Saccharomyces cerevisiae S288C: one gene and its partner. The protein of the gene in region 2 interacts with the protein of the main gene of each other region in a pairwise test. Each region holds a gene or a part of one and is shown on either strand. Other genes may lie near its edges.

What was found.
Region 1: the proteins of ADY3 (region 2) and CHA4 interact in a two-hybrid assay, tested with the Saccharomyces cerevisiae proteins (2 studies listed by BioGRID).

The regions. Positions count from the first base shown.
Region 1 is NC_001144.5:333,832-342,954, forward strand, and holds CHA4 (Cha4p), read right to left. Parts: upstream 5,643-9,123; coding exon 3,696-5,642; downstream 1-3,695. Other genes in the region: serine/threonine protein kinase KIN2, read left to right, coding at 1-2,202; SCF ubiquitin ligase complex subunit HRT3, read right to left, coding at 2,400-3,434; lysophosphatidic acid acyltransferase ICT1, read right to left, coding at 5,913-7,097; MIM2 (Mim2p), read left to right, coding at 7,494-7,757; ERG27 (3-keto-steroid reductase), read left to right, coding at 7,979-9,022. UniProt on the Saccharomyces cerevisiae protein: Activates the CHA1 gene for L-serine dehydratase. Binds to the DNA sequence 5'-GVGGARAYRTRATTCCRC-3'.
Region 2 is NC_001136.10:22,912-32,642, forward strand, and holds ADY3 (Ady3p), read right to left. Parts: upstream 5,865-9,731; coding exon 3,492-5,864; downstream 1-3,491. Other genes in the region: GTPase-activating protein LRG1, read left to right, coding at 1-2,965; GUD1 (guanine deaminase), read right to left, coding at 6,074-7,543; AIM6 (Aim6p), read left to right, coding at 7,746-8,918; PHO13 (4-nitrophenylphosphatase), read left to right, coding at 9,385-9,731. UniProt on the Saccharomyces cerevisiae protein: Involved in the pathway that organizes the prospore membrane (PSM) during sporulation. Mediates the assembly of the DON1 ring structure at the leading edge of PSM during meiosis II.

The DNA of each region.
Region 1 (9,123 bases), on a different chromosome or scaffold from region 2:
GACGATATTGAAGATACAAGAAGATCATTGATCCGATTAGTAACTGAAAAGGAATACATCCAACTTTCCCAAGAATACTGGGACAAATTATCCAACGCCAAGGGGTTGAGTTCAAGTTTAAATAATAACTACCTAAATTCAACGGCACAACAAACCTTAATACAAAATCATATTACAAGTAATCCATCGCAAAGTGGTTATAATGAACCAGATAGTAATTTTGAAGATCCTACTTTAGCATATCATCCATTACTATCAATATATCACTTGGTTTCAGAAATGGTTGCACGGAAATTAGCGAAGTTGCAAAGAAGGCAAGCATTGGCCCTGCAAGCGCAAGCTCAGCAAAGGCAACAACAGCAACAAGTAGCACTTGGCACTAAGGTCGCCTTAAATAATAACTCCCCGGATATTATGACCAAAATGAGGAGCCCTCAGAAAGAAGTAGTACCTAATCCTGGTATTTTTCAAGTGCCGGCAATTGGAACATCGGGAACCTCAAACAACACTAATACCTCAAACAAACCTCCACTGCATGTAATGGTTCCTCCTAAACTAACAATACCGGAACAAGCGCATACTTCTCCAACATCTAGGAAGAGTTCCGACATTCATACGGAATTAAATGGTGTTTTGAAATCAACACCAGTCCCCGTGTCTGGCGAATATCAGCAACGTTCTGCTTCACCCGTAGTAGGTGAACATCAGGAAAAGAATACAATAGGCGGCATATTCAGAAGAATATCACAAAGTGGACAATCTCAGCATCCCACACGGCAACAGGAACCTCTTCCAGAAAGAGAACCTCCAACATATATGTCAAAATCAAATGAAATTTCCATCAAAGTACCGAAAAGCCATAGTCGTACTATATCAGATTATATTCCTAGCGCTAGAAGATATCCATCTTACGTGCCAAATTCTGTTGATGTAAAACAGAAACCCGCTAAAAACACTACCATAGCACCTCCTATAAGGTCAGTATCACAAAAGCAAAACAGTGATCTTCCAGCTTTACCTCAGAACGCCGAACTAATTGTTCAAAAACAACGGCAAAAACTATTACAGGAAAATCTCGACAAATTACAAATTAATGATAATGATAACAACAATGTGAACGCTGTAGTCGATGGTATCAATAATGATAATAGTGACCATTATCTCTCCGTTCCGAAGGGTCGTAAGTTACATCCTAGTGCAAGGGCTAAATCGGTGGGGCATGCTCGTCGTGAATCTTTGAAATTTACTAGGCCGCCTATACCAGCAGCCCTTCCGCCATCAGATATGACAAACGATAACGGCTTTTTGGGAGAGGCAAACAAGGAGAGATACAATCCTGTTAGCAGTAACTTTTCGACCGTTCCTGAAGATTCTACCACATACAGTAACGATACTAACAATAGACTGACTTCGGTGTATTCTCAGGAGCTTACTGAGAAGCAAATTTTGGAGGAAGCTTCAAAGGCACCCCCCGGGTCTATGCCATCAATTGATTATCCAAAGTCAATGTTTTTGAAGGGTTTTTTCTCTGTACAAACAACCTCCTCTAAACCATTGCCTATTGTTCGTCACAATATCATATCTGTTTTAACAAGAATGAATATTGATTTCAAAGAAGTGAAAGGCGGGTTCATATGTGTCCAACAAAGGCCATCTATTGAGACTGCAGCTGTCCCTGTTATAACCACTACTGGCGTGGGTTTGGATTCCGGAAAGGCGATGGATCTGCAAAATAGTTTAGACAGTCAATTATCATCCAGTTACCATAGTACAGCGTCCTCAGCATCAAGAAATAGTTCGATAAAACGCCAAGGTTCTTATAAGAGGGGCCAGAATAATATACCACTAACACCTTTAGCGACCAATACACATCAAAGAAATTCATCTATCCCAATGTCTCCAAACTACGGAAACCAAAGTAATGGTACATCAGGGGAACTATCTTCCATGTCATTAGATTATGTTCAACAACAGGATGATATTTTAACAACATCAAGAGCCCAAAATATAAATAACGTAAATGGTCAAACAGAGCAAACCAATACTTCTGGTATAAAAGAAAGGCCTCCTATTAAATTTGAGATTCACATTGTAAAGGTTCGTATCGTCGGCCTAGCAGGTGTACATTTCAAAAAGGTTTCTGGTAATACGTGGCTATATAAAGAATTGGCATCGTATATTTTAAAAGAATTAAACCTATAGATACGTTGTTCTTACTAAATATTTCAACGTGTGTCTTTCAATTTTTATTATCTAATATTTATCTTTTTTTAATATTATAGTATAATTTATTTAAGCTGAGATCTGCTTTCTTTAATCTTTCATATGATGAAATAATAGTTCTACATAAATCTATAAGAATAATAAATAAAGTAAAACAACTGCAAAAAACATCGATGTCATCCAGGATCCTTGAAAGATTTCACTCTGGAGAAGAAAAAAGATTTCTCATTTCTCAACGAACAGTTAGATGCATTCCCTTCCTTATCCACTACAATTGAACTTAGCCATTTCAACCGTTGATATCTCTTATTGCCTTGATTCTTGATTTGGAATTCTTCGATAAACGTATACTTTTCATCTGACCTTGTTATCTTTAAATGACCAAAATCATAATCAAATCCGAGGCTCCAATAACACATATGACTATGCCTGGGTTTGTTCTCTTTGGAGAAGTGCTTCACGACAGCGCTAGGTTCATCTGTAGAAAGTAATCTCAAACATTGGCCGTTCTCATAAAATCTGAAATACCTGTAATAGGTGATCATGTGAACTGGCTTTAAAAGAGATAACGAACTTTCTGCATTGGAACCGTATCTTACATAATTTACTACACTGATGTAAACACCTTCGAATTTAATATATGGCCTTTCCCTTAACATACGATAATCATCACCCCGCCATATTTCCTTTTCAAAGGTATTTATATCGGTGATTCCGTTAAGATCCATTGCCATTTTGTCGTATATTTGCTTAGAATATATGTACTTCGCGAAAGTTTTAAATGGCACAGAATCGTGGAAGCAAAGCTTGCTAAAGGTGGAACAAGTCATCGACAAATTCACCCAAGATTCACCAGACATTAATATAACTTTTTTAATAATTCTCAGTAAAATGTCGTCAGGCAAGATTTCCAGAATCCAGCAGGGTTGAAGTTCAGCATTTTCTTCAACAGATAAGTCATCTTTACCGGTTTCATTTTGTTCATCTGGAGCATCAGTAGTCATTGATAATCCCGATAGTTTTTTGTGCAGCATCCACTCATCAAGTATTTTTTTTCTGTACAGTGATTCCACATTATCATGGATTTTCAATGCACTTCGATAGAAGTTTATAGCATCTGACATTGACCCATCCTTCTCTTTCAGTACACCTTTTTCCCAAATAGCAATAGCCTCTTTAGCCCTAGGGTCCTTTTCATAATCTACTATCATTTGCTCCTTGAGTTTAGCTTATGGAACACATGTGTCGTCGCCAAAGATGATGGGGAATGTTTGCTTTTATCTTGCTCAGTCGATTTCGCTATCTAGGAACTACAATCCTTTTTTTTGTCATTTGGAAGGCTCTTTAAAATTCCGAATCGATAAGTTCGGAGGTGGGAAAGGATAGCGGTATATTCCTTCCCAAATAAAAAGGCTACAAACACATTACATAAAGAATATTTGTTCAAGTAAACATATCCTCTTCACTCAAGATTACTTCGACAAACCATCATTGGTGTTTCCACCAATCAGCATATCAATCTCATTCAATAAAGTAAAGTCAAAATTGTACTCTAAGGCAAAATCGTTACCGTGAGATAGAGTCCCTAATAAATCCATAGTTTCTGAATTATGCAAAGCATCTTCAGAGTTTTCTATGAATTTTCTAGCAAGTTCGTAATTCAGGGTAGGCGCACTTAAAAAATTTAAGAAGTCTTGTTTTCTATCCTTTTTAATCAAGTTGGACTTCATGCATTGGATGGCTAAAATCGCAGAATAAATCATGTAAATTGTGGCCTTCTCAAACGTCTTAAATTTATTTTTCCAAACTTTTAAAAGATAATACAGTTCATCAACATAACCTTCAACCAATTCCCGGCTTTGTTTGATTTCGTATATGAAAGGTTTATTATAGGAAATTAGCACGATATAGTAATGAAACCATACGTAAGCTATGGTTGGGTTAAAATCTGTCATTTCCATCAATGACCTCTTGGTCCATTGTAGTTCAGGGGGCAAATCCCTTCTCCAATTGTATACCTCCAGATTAAATTTGGCCAAGTATTCACTCCTTTGAAGTAGAGTTTCGTTTGGGCTGAAAATCTTGGATGCAAAAATCTCCGTTATTCTCGATAACACAATCAGTTTCTTCAAGGGGTTTGCAGTGGACAATATTACTTTTGGGTCATATATGTACTCCTCTATACCAGTCTCAATTTCAGGTAGCTCGTCTGTTTCTGGAACAGTGGAATTGGACAAACGCAAGGAAGTTGATCTTCCAAAGAGGATCGCTATTAAATGATCAGCAATGTAGCAGCCCCAATAAATTCTACTTCTCACTTCAAAATCCATTATTGACAGCTCGTCTTCATAAACATTACTCCATGCTTCTGGATTCAAATGTAGGCCGATTTCGTGGGCAATCCTAAATGCCAGCCCAGAAAGATACCAAGCCATGGGGTTTTCTCCGCTTCCAATGTCATAAAATGCCAAACACAATAGAGTCTGGATGATTGCTAATTTCGAAGAGGACGACGATTCAGCTAACGAAGAATCTTCCAGTTGAAAAATTTTTTTGAGTACTATCGTCTTGGCTCTTTGATAAAACACTTCAGATTGTTGAAAAAGCTCAGTTTCTGATTTGTATGAAATCAAAGATCCCAATGCAGCGATTGCAAATACCAATTCTTCGGAACAATAGTAACTTTTAGTGTTAGTATCACCGAAGAAAGCACTTAAGAAAGTTTCTCTATGAATGAAAAGGTAATGTCCCGGGTATAGCCATTTGAAAAAGAGTGACAACGATCTTAAGATAAGGGGACTTCTTGATAAATTTTTTAGGCTGACCTGCTGTTGCTGATATCTTGTGCTTCCATCCGTCTTCTTTTTTATTATAGACAAGGAATTTGATGGATATATACTATTTGTGCCAACTGGTGGAGGGCTCTCGGAAGGCATTTTCTTGGTGAACGCATCAGACTCATTCTCATCGTTGCTTTCAGATGATGGTAGTGCTGATTGTGCTGTTTCGCCATACTTTAAGATTTTTTCATTAGGAGCATCACCATGATCACTGTTGTTTTTTAACGAGGAGAGAGCATTGCTAGCAATTGTGGAAGACGAGGAACTTAATATTTGCAACTGTTCTTTCAAAGACCGAATCTGGCTCTGTAAAGCTTCTACGTAAGTCGTAGAATATCTTTTGTTCCTTAAGTCTTGTTGAGTGAATACACATTCGGTACGAAACTTGATACAGTTTGAACAAGGCTTTTCCATGTTACATTTCCTTCTTCTTCTACGGCAATTCTGGCATGCTAGTTTTCTCTTCCTGGGCACGTTGTTATTATTCTGGTCATTATCTGTCACAGATTTCTTTAAACTGGACGGAAGGGAGGGTGTTACCGTTGTTGTTAAAGGTGGAGGTGAAGGCTCCAACATCATTGCTGCGATTGTGTAGAGCTTCGAGTTTTAAAAGGGCTATTTTTGAAAACTTACGGCGATGTCAACTTGTTGATTTTGCTTTGTTTCGTTCGGGATGGATCGGAACATCCGCTCACATATGAGAGGTTTACACTCTTGATGTATATGTTGCTCTATCTTGTATACGGTTAAGTAAAGTGATGTATTATGTATATGTATGTATTTATATATATATATATATATATGCGTGGTTTTCCATATTGTATTTTTCTTCTCTACTCTATATAGGCATTACTTTGACAGGAACGAGACTAAAGAAGAGGCAAAGTGCTGCGGGTTGTCCAGGAAAAGATTATGGCCAGCATCAGGGACTTCAACGTAGCTAGCCTTTGCCTTGTTTTTTAGCATTGATTCAGTAGTCAAGTAGCCCGCATATTTATCCATCCAATCGTGCTCGCCATACATGAACATGACAGGCGTTGCTGGGTTCAAAAAACGAACGTTGTTTATTATCGGATCTCTAGCGATCAGATTCCTTTCAAACAAATGGGTGAACACCTTGATTGTCTGTGGTTGCACCGTCTGGTTCTTCCCGACAAATGAGTGCAAAAGATAGTCCTTATATATCTGATCCGGAACTTTTACGTATGCGGTGGAGATGTAGTTCGAGCACAATTTGGAGCCTATGGGTCCCATCCACTTCAAAACGTTTAGCTGGTTTTCAAAGATAAACCGCGGTACGTTCAGCTTTCTTGTATAATATCGGGACGATGGGTCGGTAAACGTAAGTGGATAGGTGGTGTTGGGCTCCCATTTGTGGGTGATAGCATGTATACTGTTTTCCACACCAAGAGGAGATATGAGACACAGTTTCTCAATGGAATCAGGGTACTTGAGGGCGTATTTGAATGAAATATATCCTCCGAATGAATGGCCCACCACGTTTATTTTGCGAAGCTTGTTATCCTTCCGCCATTGCTCTATCCTGTCTACGAAGTAGCTTTCGTACTGCTCCAGGTGTGACTTGATGTCCTCTGCTGGGGGGCGCTTCTCTATCACAGGGATTACTACGTCATCTTCTATATGCTTAAACCTGAGAGACTTGATCTTCTTGGTTTTGTTCACTTGCAATGCTGGCGCCTCTGAGGCACCATTGGCTGGCAAGTCGATGGCATATAGATCTTTAATGTTGTCTGACAGGTTCTCAAACGTCCTGTAGAACGCCATCGACGAGGCAGCGTATCCATGGATTAGTACTGTAGGCGTGCACACTTTGTTCGCACGCTTATTGTGGAAATGCCACTGGTTAATCCCGCCTGGAGTCATCGTGTTATTAACGGACCCACGCACAGTGGTGCTATCCATAATTTGCTGCTGCAGGGCCTTCAGGCCCTGCACGCTAGCACACACCTTGGCGTCTGCAGTAGTGGTCTCCTTCTCAGTTTTGCTGCACCATTTGAAAGTGTTTGTCCACATTCTACTGAAGAAAACTACGCTTACGTATGTATATGTCCTGAACAATGAGAGAAAGACCTGCGAATATACTTCTACTACTCCACGTACAAAAAAGAGCACGCTGCTTTATTTATACTTTTGTGCCACAAGAATGATCAACATCAACATAAATATCAACTAGTATCTGCAACACATCTGCTCCACGGAACTAAACCCGTTGAGCAGTGCCCCGTGGAAACGTAAACTATCGCAAATTGGGATTAACAAGCCAAAAACAGCCAAGCAAGATTCACGAAACCGCGCCTCGTTTGGACCCCGAAGGCCCATTTAACGGCCGGCCGTTACAAGCAAGATCGGCAGAGCAAACCACTCCCCAGCACCACAGCACATCACTGCACGAGCAACAATAACTAGAACATGGCAGATAGCGAGGATACCTCTGTGATCCTGCAGGGCATCGACACAATCAACAGCGTGGAGGGCCTGGAAGAAGATGGTTACCTCAGCGACGAGGACACGTCACTCAGCAACGAGCTCGCAGATGCACAGCGTCAATGGGAAGAGTCGCTGCAACAGTTGAACAAGCTGCTCAACTGGGTCCTGCTGCCCCTGCTGGGCAAGTATATAGGTAGGAGAATGGCCAAGACTCTATGGAGTAGGTTCATTGAACACTTTGTATAAGTGTTTGTTGTTTATGTATCCGCATATAGCAGTTATAACAGATAAATGGCACTTTTCGCACACCCGTTGTTTTATCTCCGATAGTACGTGGGCCTTTATTTATGGTCGTTTAACGAAAGAACGGCATCTTGAATTGAGCAGGTATTTAAAAGATAGGACGAGAAACAAGCACATGATCTGTGTCGAAAAAAAGTAGCAAAGAGAAAAAGTAGGAGGATAGGATGAACAGGAAAGTAGCTATCGTAACGGGTACTAATAGTAATCTTGGTCTGAACATTGTGTTCCGTCTGATTGAAACTGAGGACACCAATGTCAGATTGACCATTGTGGTGACTTCTAGAACGCTTCCTCGAGTGCAGGAGGTGATTAACCAGATTAAAGATTTTTACAACAAATCAGGCCGTGTAGAGGATTTGGAAATAGACTTTGATTATCTGTTGGTGGACTTCACCAACATGGTGAGTGTCTTGAACGCATATTACGACATCAACAAAAAGTACAGGGCGATAAACTACCTTTTCGTGAATGCTGCGCAAGGTATCTTTGACGGTATAGATTGGATCGGAGCGGTCAAGGAGGTTTTCACCAATCCATTGGAGGCAGTGACAAATCCGACATACAAGATACAACTGGTGGGCGTCAAGTCTAAAGATGACATGGGGCTTATTTTCCAGGCCAATGTGTTTGGTCCGTACTACTTTATCAGTAAAATTCTGCCTCAATTGACCAGGGGAAAGGCTTATATTGTTTGGATTTCGAGTATTATGTCCGATCCTAAGTATCTTTCGTTGAACGATATTGAACTACTAAAGACAAATGCCTCTTATGAGGGCTCCAAGCGTTTAGTTGATTTACTGCATTTGGCCACCTACAAAGACTTGAAAAAGCTGGGCATAAATCAGTATGTAGTTCAACCGGGCATATTTACAAGCCATTCCTTCTCCGAATATTTGAATTTTTTCACCTATTTCGGCATGCTATGCTTGTTCTATTTGGCCAGGCTGTTGGGGTCTCCATGGCACAATATTGATGGTTATAAAGCTGCCAATGCCCCAGTATACGTAACTAGATTGGCCAATCCAAACTTTGAGAAACAAGACGTAAAATACGGTTCTGCTACCTCTAGGGATGGTATGCCATATATCAAGACGCAGGAAATAGACCCTACTGGAATGTCTGATGTCTTCGCTTATATACAGAAGAAGAAACTGGAATGGGACGAGAAACTGAAAGATCAAATTGTTGAAACTAGAACCCCCATTTAATATATCTCTGCGTACATATGTATATATATATATGTGTGTATATACATGTATGTCTGTATAGAAAACGCATATCAACTGATATATATACACGTGAAGCAAAA
Region 2 (9,731 bases):
TTGTAACAAGTTAGTTATACCCGATAGCCAACGAACTAAAACAACTTTAAAGGCTCTCGGTAAATATTATCATGAAAGTTGTTTTACCTGCCAAGACTGTCAGAAACCTTTAAAACCGAAGTACTTCCCATATCAAGTAGACAAGACAAGTGAATCTATATTGTTATGCCAATACGATTATTTTAGAAGACATAATTTGTTATGTCATGTATGTGATACCCCATTGCGTGGATTATATTATACCGCATTCGGTTACAGATACGACGAAGAGCATTTTTCTTGTACAATATGTGCTACTCCTTGTGGGGTTAAAAAATGCTTCATGTACGGAAACCAATTGTATTGCAAGTACCACTTTCTCAAGTATTTTTCGAAACGTTGCAAAGGGTGCGAGTTCCCAATATCGGATCAATATATCGAGTTTCCTAAAGGTGAAGAAATACATTGTTGGCATCCGGAATGTTATGGAATTCATAAATATTGGCATGTAAATTTAGCAGCAGAAACTGTTGGTTTGCAGTACCTTCCCAAGCTGGAATATAACCCAAATTCCGGAGACAAAGATATAAACCCAACTGCCTACGAGTTAGATAAACAAATGCAGGCGTTTAACTTTATTCTATCTAAAACGTGGTCGGTTTTATATCGTTTTGAGGAAGAGGCAGCTTCTTGCATTTCTGATATGTTTCAATATTTGACAAGCAATGATCAGTTAAAGGGCATAGAGTCTACGGGTCTGTTGGTACTAAAAATCGACTGTCTTTTCCGGGGACTGGATACTTTAAACCTCTCGACGAACAAAAGTATGCCAGTTAACAGTGATCAAGAATGCATTGAAAACAACGCAATGGCGGCCAGTAAATACAGCAAGTTTCCCAAAAATCTGTCCACAAAAATTATGATATATTTACAACTCTTAAGAAAGTTAGGGACAGAAAACAAAAACGAAACTATCACAATTTCATCTTTTATGTCTGTTATTACTGGATTAGCCCATTTTCTAAAACTGTTAACAAGATTTGGGCTATATACGGCTCTAGAAAACAATAAGTTGACTCATTCTGTTAATCCATTGTTGAGGTTTTTAAGAGAAGTAGAGAAAAATGAGCTTTTTGAAAATAACCCGTTTCAGTATATAAAGACTCCTGTTAACGCCACAGATAGTTGCGCTGGATGCAATAAATACATACAGGAGGAATGCATTCAATTTTATGAGCACCGGTGGCATATTGCTTGTTTTACTTGTTCTTCATGCCATAAGAATATAAATCCGAGGAGTTTGACGGATCCCACCTTTAATAAAGAGAAAAAAAAGATACTATGTTCTCACTGCTCAATTGATGATCCGGCCTCTGTGCCGGGTTTCAAATTTGTTACTAAGCTAGCACAACTAATTTTTCTTCTAAAAATTGCCCTAGTCAAATCAAGAACTGTAATGTTGAAATCGAAAGCATCTAACAAGGTAGGCAGAAACTCTTTACAGAGTACTATGCTAAAGGAACAAACTTACATTAGGACACTGAATGATATTAAAAGATTGAGATCTAGAAGAGAAAGTGTTCGGGTCACTCATAACAAACAACAAGCTAGAAAATCAGTGATACTGGAAACTGCAGAGACAGATTTAAATGACCCGACAAAACAAGGAGATAGTAAAAATCTTGTGATTCAAACAGATGACCCATCATCGAGCCAACAAGTGAGCACACGTGAAAATGTTTTCAGTAATACTAAGACGTTGACACTAGATGATATTTCACGTATTGTTGCCGCTGAACAAGCAAGGGAGCTAAGACCTAACGCTTTTGCACACTTTAAAAAACTAAAAGAAACCGATGACGAAACTTCGAATGTTGTTCCCAAGAAAAGCGGAGTTTATTACTCTGAATTAAGTACGATGGAACTCTCGATGATAAGGGCTATCAGTTTGTCACTGCTAGCTGGTAAACAACTGATATCGAAGACTGATCCTAACTATACTAGCTTAGTCTCAATGGTCTTCTCGAATGAAAAGCAAGTCACAGGTAGCTTTTGGAACAGAATGAAAATCATGATGAGCATGGAGCCTAAAAAGCCCATCACTAAGACTGTTTTTGGTGCTCCTTTAGATGTGTTGTGCGAGAAATGGGGTGTTGATTCCGATTTAGGTGTGGGGCCAGTGAAGATTAGGATCCCCATAATTATTGACGAGCTAATATCATCTTTGAGGCAAATGGATATGTCAGTAGAAGGTATTTTCAGGAAAAATGGAAATATCAGAAGACTGAGAGAACTAACTGCTAACATCGACAGTAATCCAACAGAAGCTCCAGACTTCTCGAAAGAAAATGCAATCCAATTATCTGCTCTTTTGAAGAAATTTATCAGAGAGCTTCCCCAACCGATTTTATCGACAGACTTATATGAACTATGGATTAAGGCCGCGAAAATTGATTTAGAGGATGAGAAACAGCGTGTTATATTGCTAATATATTCCTTATTACCCACTTACAATCGCAATTTACTGGAGGCACTTTTGTCATTTTTGCATTGGACGTCCTCATTCTCTTACATTGAGAATGAAATGGGATCAAAAATGGACATTCACAATTTATCCACAGTCATAACACCTAATATTTTATATTTGCGACATAAAGAAATTTCCAATGATAACGTCCCTGACGAACCAGAATCAGGTTTAGTTGATTCATTCGCTCAAAACAAGGGAGAAAATTACTTTTTGGCTATTGAGATAGTTGATTACCTGATTACTCACAATGAAGAAATGGCAATGGTTCCGAAATTTTTAATGAATCTTTTAAAAGATGTGCAGTTACAAAAATTAGATAACTACGAATCAATCAACCATTTTATTTCCACCGTTATGCAAAGTAAAACAATCGATTATTCCGAATGTGACATAAAAACTCCTGTCACAGTCAAAGATTCGACCACAACGGTCATACAAGGTGAAATAAACAAATAATAGGCAGAAACTGTAAGTTTCCCCTCATTTTCCTTTTTTTCTTCTCCTTCCCCTCAGATTTCGAGGTTTGTCGTTCTTATTAGAGTTCTTTGCTTTTTTCTTTGCCTATTTCAATAAAATCTTACCAGTATGCTATGGAAATGGACATTATTTTATTATTATACAACATAGTATATTCTGACTAAAATGGAATTAGAAATTGTAACATTAGTATGTACTTATAATCATTTGTATCATTGTATTACTCGCCTTTTGATGTAAATTTTGTTTATATCTCAGAACATCTCCAACAGCAGATCAGAAGTTACATTGTTCTTGTAAGTGCTTAAGAAGTCTGTTAGCAAATTGAAATCTTTCAGAAGAATATTCCACCAAAATTTCGGAAAAGCAATACCAGCGGTAAAATATCTGCCATGCTCTATATTATGTGACTTTATTTTAGGTGCACCCCCCACCAGTAACTTATTCTCTAAATAATAATTAATGACACCATTGAATATATTAGTTCTAAATAAAAAAAAAAAAGCTAAGAAAAGAAATATTTAAACAACGCTTGCAAATCATACTCAAGAGGATGCTTTACTTCAGCAATATCATGATTGTTCAAAAACTCATTCATTGCGACCTTTCTTCTACTTTTGAAATCTAACTGTTTACCAAAAACCTTAAGGTTCAAATCATTAGCAAATTTTGTGAGAAGTGTAAGCTCACATCTAAGTTGAATGACAATTGTTGGTACAATTTTTAAGAAGGTTTTTAATGGGATATCCAACACAATTAATAAATTTTTGATTAGATTTTGCGATTGCACATAGGTAAGGTCTGTCAGAATATCAAGACCCAAGGAGTCGTACTTTTCCTTCGTTATATGTGGAAAAGATTTTCCAACAGTTTCAAAATTAAGTTCGGTAGAAGGATCACCATATAGTTTTTTTAAATTCAGCTTCTCTTGGAATACATCTTCTTTTAGTGATAGAATTGTTTCTTCGAGTTTTAATATTTCACTTTGTTTTCCAGCTAACTCGTCAGTAATTTTCTTATGTGTGTTTTCTGACTCTTGAATTTGAGTGCTCCATCTTGAAGCAATCAAAGCCTGATTCTGAAGTTTCTCAACAATTTCCTGGTGTTCATTCATGTAATCGTTCAATTTATCTTCGGCATTTTTCTGAATTTTTTCACTTAGTATTAATTTTTCTTTTAACTCGCTCTTCAGTTTTTGAAAGTTTTCTTCCTTGAGGTTCAGGATATCATGCCATCTCCTTTTTTCCAAACGAAATTGTTGTTCTTTTGTTAACGCCTCTTTTTGAAGATATTTTATTTTGTGACTGTGCTGCTGTTGCATAAAATGTAATCTTTCATTAATCAATTTAAAGACAGAAATGATTTTTTCAAGACGTATACGGTCATTCTTTTCCAAAAGTTCTATCTTTCCTTTTAATTGTTTGTATTGCTCCATATTTTCAAGATTTTTGATATCTTGAAAATCCGGATAAAGCTTGGCAAAACCGTTTTGAAACATCGAAGGGGAATGGCCACATTTCATTTCTTCTAGTATGAATTTACCAAGGTCTTTCTCAAAAAGAGAAAGATTTTGCATATAGCTGTAAACATCATTTAACCTTTTCTCGTAAAACGAACCATTATCATGTAATTTTTTATTTTCATCTTGAGAAAGTTGCAAATTGCTTTTCAGTATTTCAACTTCAGATCTTAATTTTACTATAGAGTTATTCGATTCGTTAATATCTTTTAGAAATTTATCATTTTCTTGCTGCAAGTTTAGGATTTGTTTTTGCTTCCTGTATAGTTCCGAAACTAAAATATTTCTTTGAGAAAAAGCTTTACATTTAGTTTTGGCACTAGTCACTTCATTCTTCTCCTTCTTGCTAGCGTTTTTGTTTTGAAAGTCTGTAATTTTTTCTTCTCTAATTTTTTTAATTTCTTTGCGAAACCGGTCCTGAACAATGTTGAGCCTTTTTGATGCAGCTTTTCTTTCGTTGTGGAATTCCTTCTGCAAGTCTTCTATTCTTTGAAGTTTAGCATCATTCATGCTATTAAGTTCTTCTAGTTCTTGAATCCTGTCATCCTTCTCTTCTAGTTTTTGTCTTAGTGCTTTGATCTCTTCATTTTGGGACTGGAGCTCATCTAATACCTTGGGTAAACTATTTTCTTTAGAAATACTTCCTCCATATGATGAAGAAGATAGCCTAATTTCTCCTAATTTCATATATTCGGACTGTTCTTCATCTGGAGTTTTAGATGAGCGAAATACGTTCTCTAGATGCGCAACCTCTATATTCTCCTCCAGACTCTCATTGCTTACAACATAATGCTCATCATTTGAGATTGCTGCGACTTTGTGGGGATTCGTGAGGAGCTTTGTAGGTGTAGAAGAAAATCTATTCACTTCAATACTATTGTGTACTTTGTATGTGGTAAATTTACCAGGGCTTACATTTCCTAATGTACTGGGCTTTCCTGCAGGTGACAGAGCCTGCGAGCCTATTCCTACAGTTGGTAAACCACCCCTTTGTAGAAATTTATTAGGCGATTTTAAAGTATTTTTTTCCGTAGCATTTTCCAATGTACTAATGTTACCAGAAGGTGAAGAGGCTTCTGAACCTGCCCAACTCTCTGAGCGGTTTCTTCGGGAACGCCTATTCGACAGTTTTGATATAATATCAGAAGAAATACTTTCCTGCACATTAGATTTTTCAGTGGACGTAGGTACTTCAGAGTCTATCCAAGTTTGTGAACGCCGCTCTCGAAAAGGTTTACTTTCTGGAGACTTAGTTAAAGTGCCATCAGTAACATGTCTCATCTCCCCCTGCTGGTCGCAATCCGAGTTTTGTTCCTTTAGGGATTCAGGCTTATTCAAAAATGCTAACCAATGATTCATATTCGGAGAAGTTTGTTGTATTCAACTATCCCATTCAAAATCCCAAACCGAGTTTTGCAATTCTTTCACTGGCAAATCTCTTTGTGTTCCTAATCTTAATATTGTACAATGGGCGGCTAAAGCGCGATACGCAAAAGAAATTTGTACATATACTCAAATTACTCATTAATACTTGGAACAAGATATAGTAGCCCTCTAAACATATACAACTAAATCTGGTAGACTTGCTGGCCGGCTACCCAAACTTTAGTGGTGTTGCGATCATCACCGTTAAAGAACCATTTTGCGATTATGTCTTCATTAGTAAGCAGCGGTGGGTTCTTATAAGGGTCTTGCCCTTGCTCTTGCTCTTGCTCTTGCATTTGATCCTTCTCCTTTAGCTGCCAATGAAACATATCCACGTTTGAGCCGGGAGCATTGGTATCGATCATTTGAGCGTCAAACTGCTTACCGACGTCAAAAGTCCCCAAGGTCTCATCCATACGCAAGACTTGTGCTCCGCCCATTGTAGCAAGAAATAGGCACTCGGAGACTGAAAGTTTTGCATGATCAGTTTCTCTCATTGCCAAATGCCTTGAAACTGCAAAGGCCTGCCTTCCGGTGGTGAGTATGCTACAAGAATGACCGGCTGAAACGTCGGTGCCTAGACCAACCTTTATGCCCTGGTCCAGCAACCATCGAACCCTACACTCTCCAGAAGTCAGAGAGGAGTTGGAAATGGGACAATGAGATATACCACAGCGACGCTGTTTAATCACACGCGCTTCGGCATCTGTTAGATGAATACAATGTGCCAATACTGTTTTTTCTGTGAGCAGCCCATATTTGTCGTATACATCAGTATAGCTCTCACATTCGGGAAATAAATCTTGAACCCACTGTATCTCCTCCTTATTTTCCGACAAGTGGGTTTGAACGTGTATGTTTTCATCCTTGACTAGCTTGGACAACTGTTGCATTAGTTCTCTAGAACAAGAGGGCGCGAACCTTGGTGTCACTATAGGATTTACGAGGGGATCACAAATGGTTTCCCGTATGTACTTAACAACTTTCACAGTGCTTTCAAAGGAAGTTTTAGTATCTTCAATATAATACTCGGGACCATTGGTATCCATGCACACTTTTCCAACAAGAACACGCTGCCCCAATAAGGAGCTTAGTTGAGCCAAGAGCTTAGTGGACTTGAGATCAATGGTATTATAGTAAGCCACAGTCGTTGTACCGTGAGAAAGCGTCTTACTTATTACCTTATTGTAAACTTCTCTCGCAATATTTTCGTTTGCTAGTGCGGCTTCTATGGGGAAGGTATACTTCTCTAGCCAATCCAGCAGGGTAGAATTCCCAAATACGCCGACATTTGGATATTGCGAGACATGGTTATGCGTGTCAACAAAACCTGGAAAATAAAAGCTGTTATTTCGAGTCTTGTCTTTTCCAATTATGTCAACCACCGTGACATCCTCTGGTGATAAGCTACTATCGTGATCTAAACAATCTTTGACAGGATCGAGTGAATTTCTGTTCACAAACCTGATGATTCCGTTGAGAACTCCAACAGATGTTTTCTCTCTGATTCTCAGCTCTCCTAATTTAGGGGTATCTACAAAGGTACCAAAAAAAACTAGAAACTTTCCATGTTTGTCGTTGAATTTATCAAATAATAAATCACTTTTTGTCATATCCTCTTCAAAGGACAGCCCAATTCATATATTCATTCAATAAAATGTTGTTCTTTTGCCAATGGCCTGTTTTAAAATCCTTATCTTGTCTCCTTTTATAATCCGAAACTATCCAAACTTCCGAGTGATAAATCGCCGGATAGGCATAAAATATGACTCGAGATAAGACCAACAAAGATAAGTACCTCGGTTTAGTTAAGCGATGTTAGGACTGAAAGGGTGTCTAACTATTCTTATTGGATACGTTATTGCTGTCTGTGCTTTGTTTTCCAGTAGGGGAAGAAATCCTTCATTAACTGATTGGGAAAAGTTAAAGGACCAGAAAATATCGAATATTGATAACTTTGGGTTGACCGGTCAACATCTTTTAGAATTTTTCCAGGAAAACTTGCCATTTCTAAGTTTTTCAGAGGAAAAGTATCGTCACAAACACGTTTCTTTATATTATGATGTATTCAAAGAATATATCTTACGTCGTGCCAGTTCAAAAAAGTGTTTACCAGTAGACTCTGCTATCGCAAAGTTGAACAAAGATGTTAACCCAATGCCAGTTCACTCCCATAATGACTACTGGAGGAAACTTCCGCTTTTTGAAGGTCTGGCCTATGGTGCTAGTAGTACTGAAGCCGACGTGTGGAATATAGATGAAAAGATCCTAGCTGTGGGTCATAATGAAGCGTATTTGGACCCAGTTGAATTGACATTAGACAAGCTATACACTGGCCCCCTCTTGGAGATTTTAGACGAGGTGAATTGCCAAGATTCAGACGCCGATCGCAAAAATGGTGTATTTTTCAACTCTCCAGAAACTTCACTCTTCTTTTATATTGATTTCAAGTCGGATGATAACGAACTAACTTATAAACTGCTGATGGAGCAATATTTCAAATCTCTGATTGATTCTGGATATTTGACATATTACGATATGAAGAAGGATGAAATTATTTGGAGACCTGTTACTGTGATACTAACGGGCAACTACCCGACGTCATTGGATATTTTAGACAATGGAAATGATAACGGCTATTTTGAGTCAAGTCAAAGGTTTGCATTTCTAGATGCGCCGTTGTTAAGTTTGGAGCCCAAATACTCAAAGCTATCTGTAGCTGCGACGGTTTCGTTCAGCCAATTAATGAAACATTGTGGTTCTGATCATTGGAAAGTATCGCTAAGAGGTCGTATGGATTCGAATGAGATCAGTTGTGCTAAAAGCATAATTGATGGTGCTCACGCATTGAAACTTAAAACAAGAATTTGGGGAGCCCCAACCTGGCCAGCTAACCTGGTGGAAACTATTTCTCGCCAAATTATTCATGACTTGGGTTCCGATTTACTTAACCTGGACAATTTATTCATGGCATCGTCATTGATATAAGTGGCTTGAGCTGTGGATAAGAAAAGCCATATATTTATATAAACATTTAGATATGAATAGGAAGTAGATTGTTCGACGCAACTACCCGTTCAAGAAGTATAATGGGGAATGGTCTCATCTTCCCTCACAGGATATAGTTCTCTGAAGAGATACATACGTTTGTGTATACTATGCTTCTTTATCAACTCAAGTTTTGTAGAGGAAGACGTTGAAGATGGTGATGTGACATCTTTACTATTCTCCAGCACGTTTTCAGTATTTACTTAATCGTATATTAATGACGTCCCTTATCTATTAACTTTCCGGTTTTTCTTTTTTTCGGTGAATGTTCTTTCCGTTTTAGTGAATTTTTCAATTGTAATTGACGCAATCGGTTTATAACAAGCAGACATAAATATCAAGCTCGAGCCAAATCACAAAAAAAGCCTTATAGCTTGCCCTGACAAAGAATATACAACTCGGGAAAATGACTGCTCAACAAGGTGTACCAATAAAGATAACCAATAAGGAGATTGCTCAAGAATTCTTGGACAAATATGACACGTTTCTGTTCGATTGTGATGGTGTATTATGGTTAGGTTCTCAAGCATTACCATACACCCTGGAAATTCTAAACCTTTTGAAGCAATTGGGCAAACAACTGATCTTCGTTACGAATAACTCTACCAAGTCCCGTTTAGCATACACGAAAAAGTTTGCTTCGTTTGGTATTGATGTCAAAGAAGAACAGATTTTCACCTCTGGTTATGCGTCAGCTGTTTATATTCGTGACTTTCTGAAATTGCAGCCTGGCAAAGATAAGGTATGGGTATT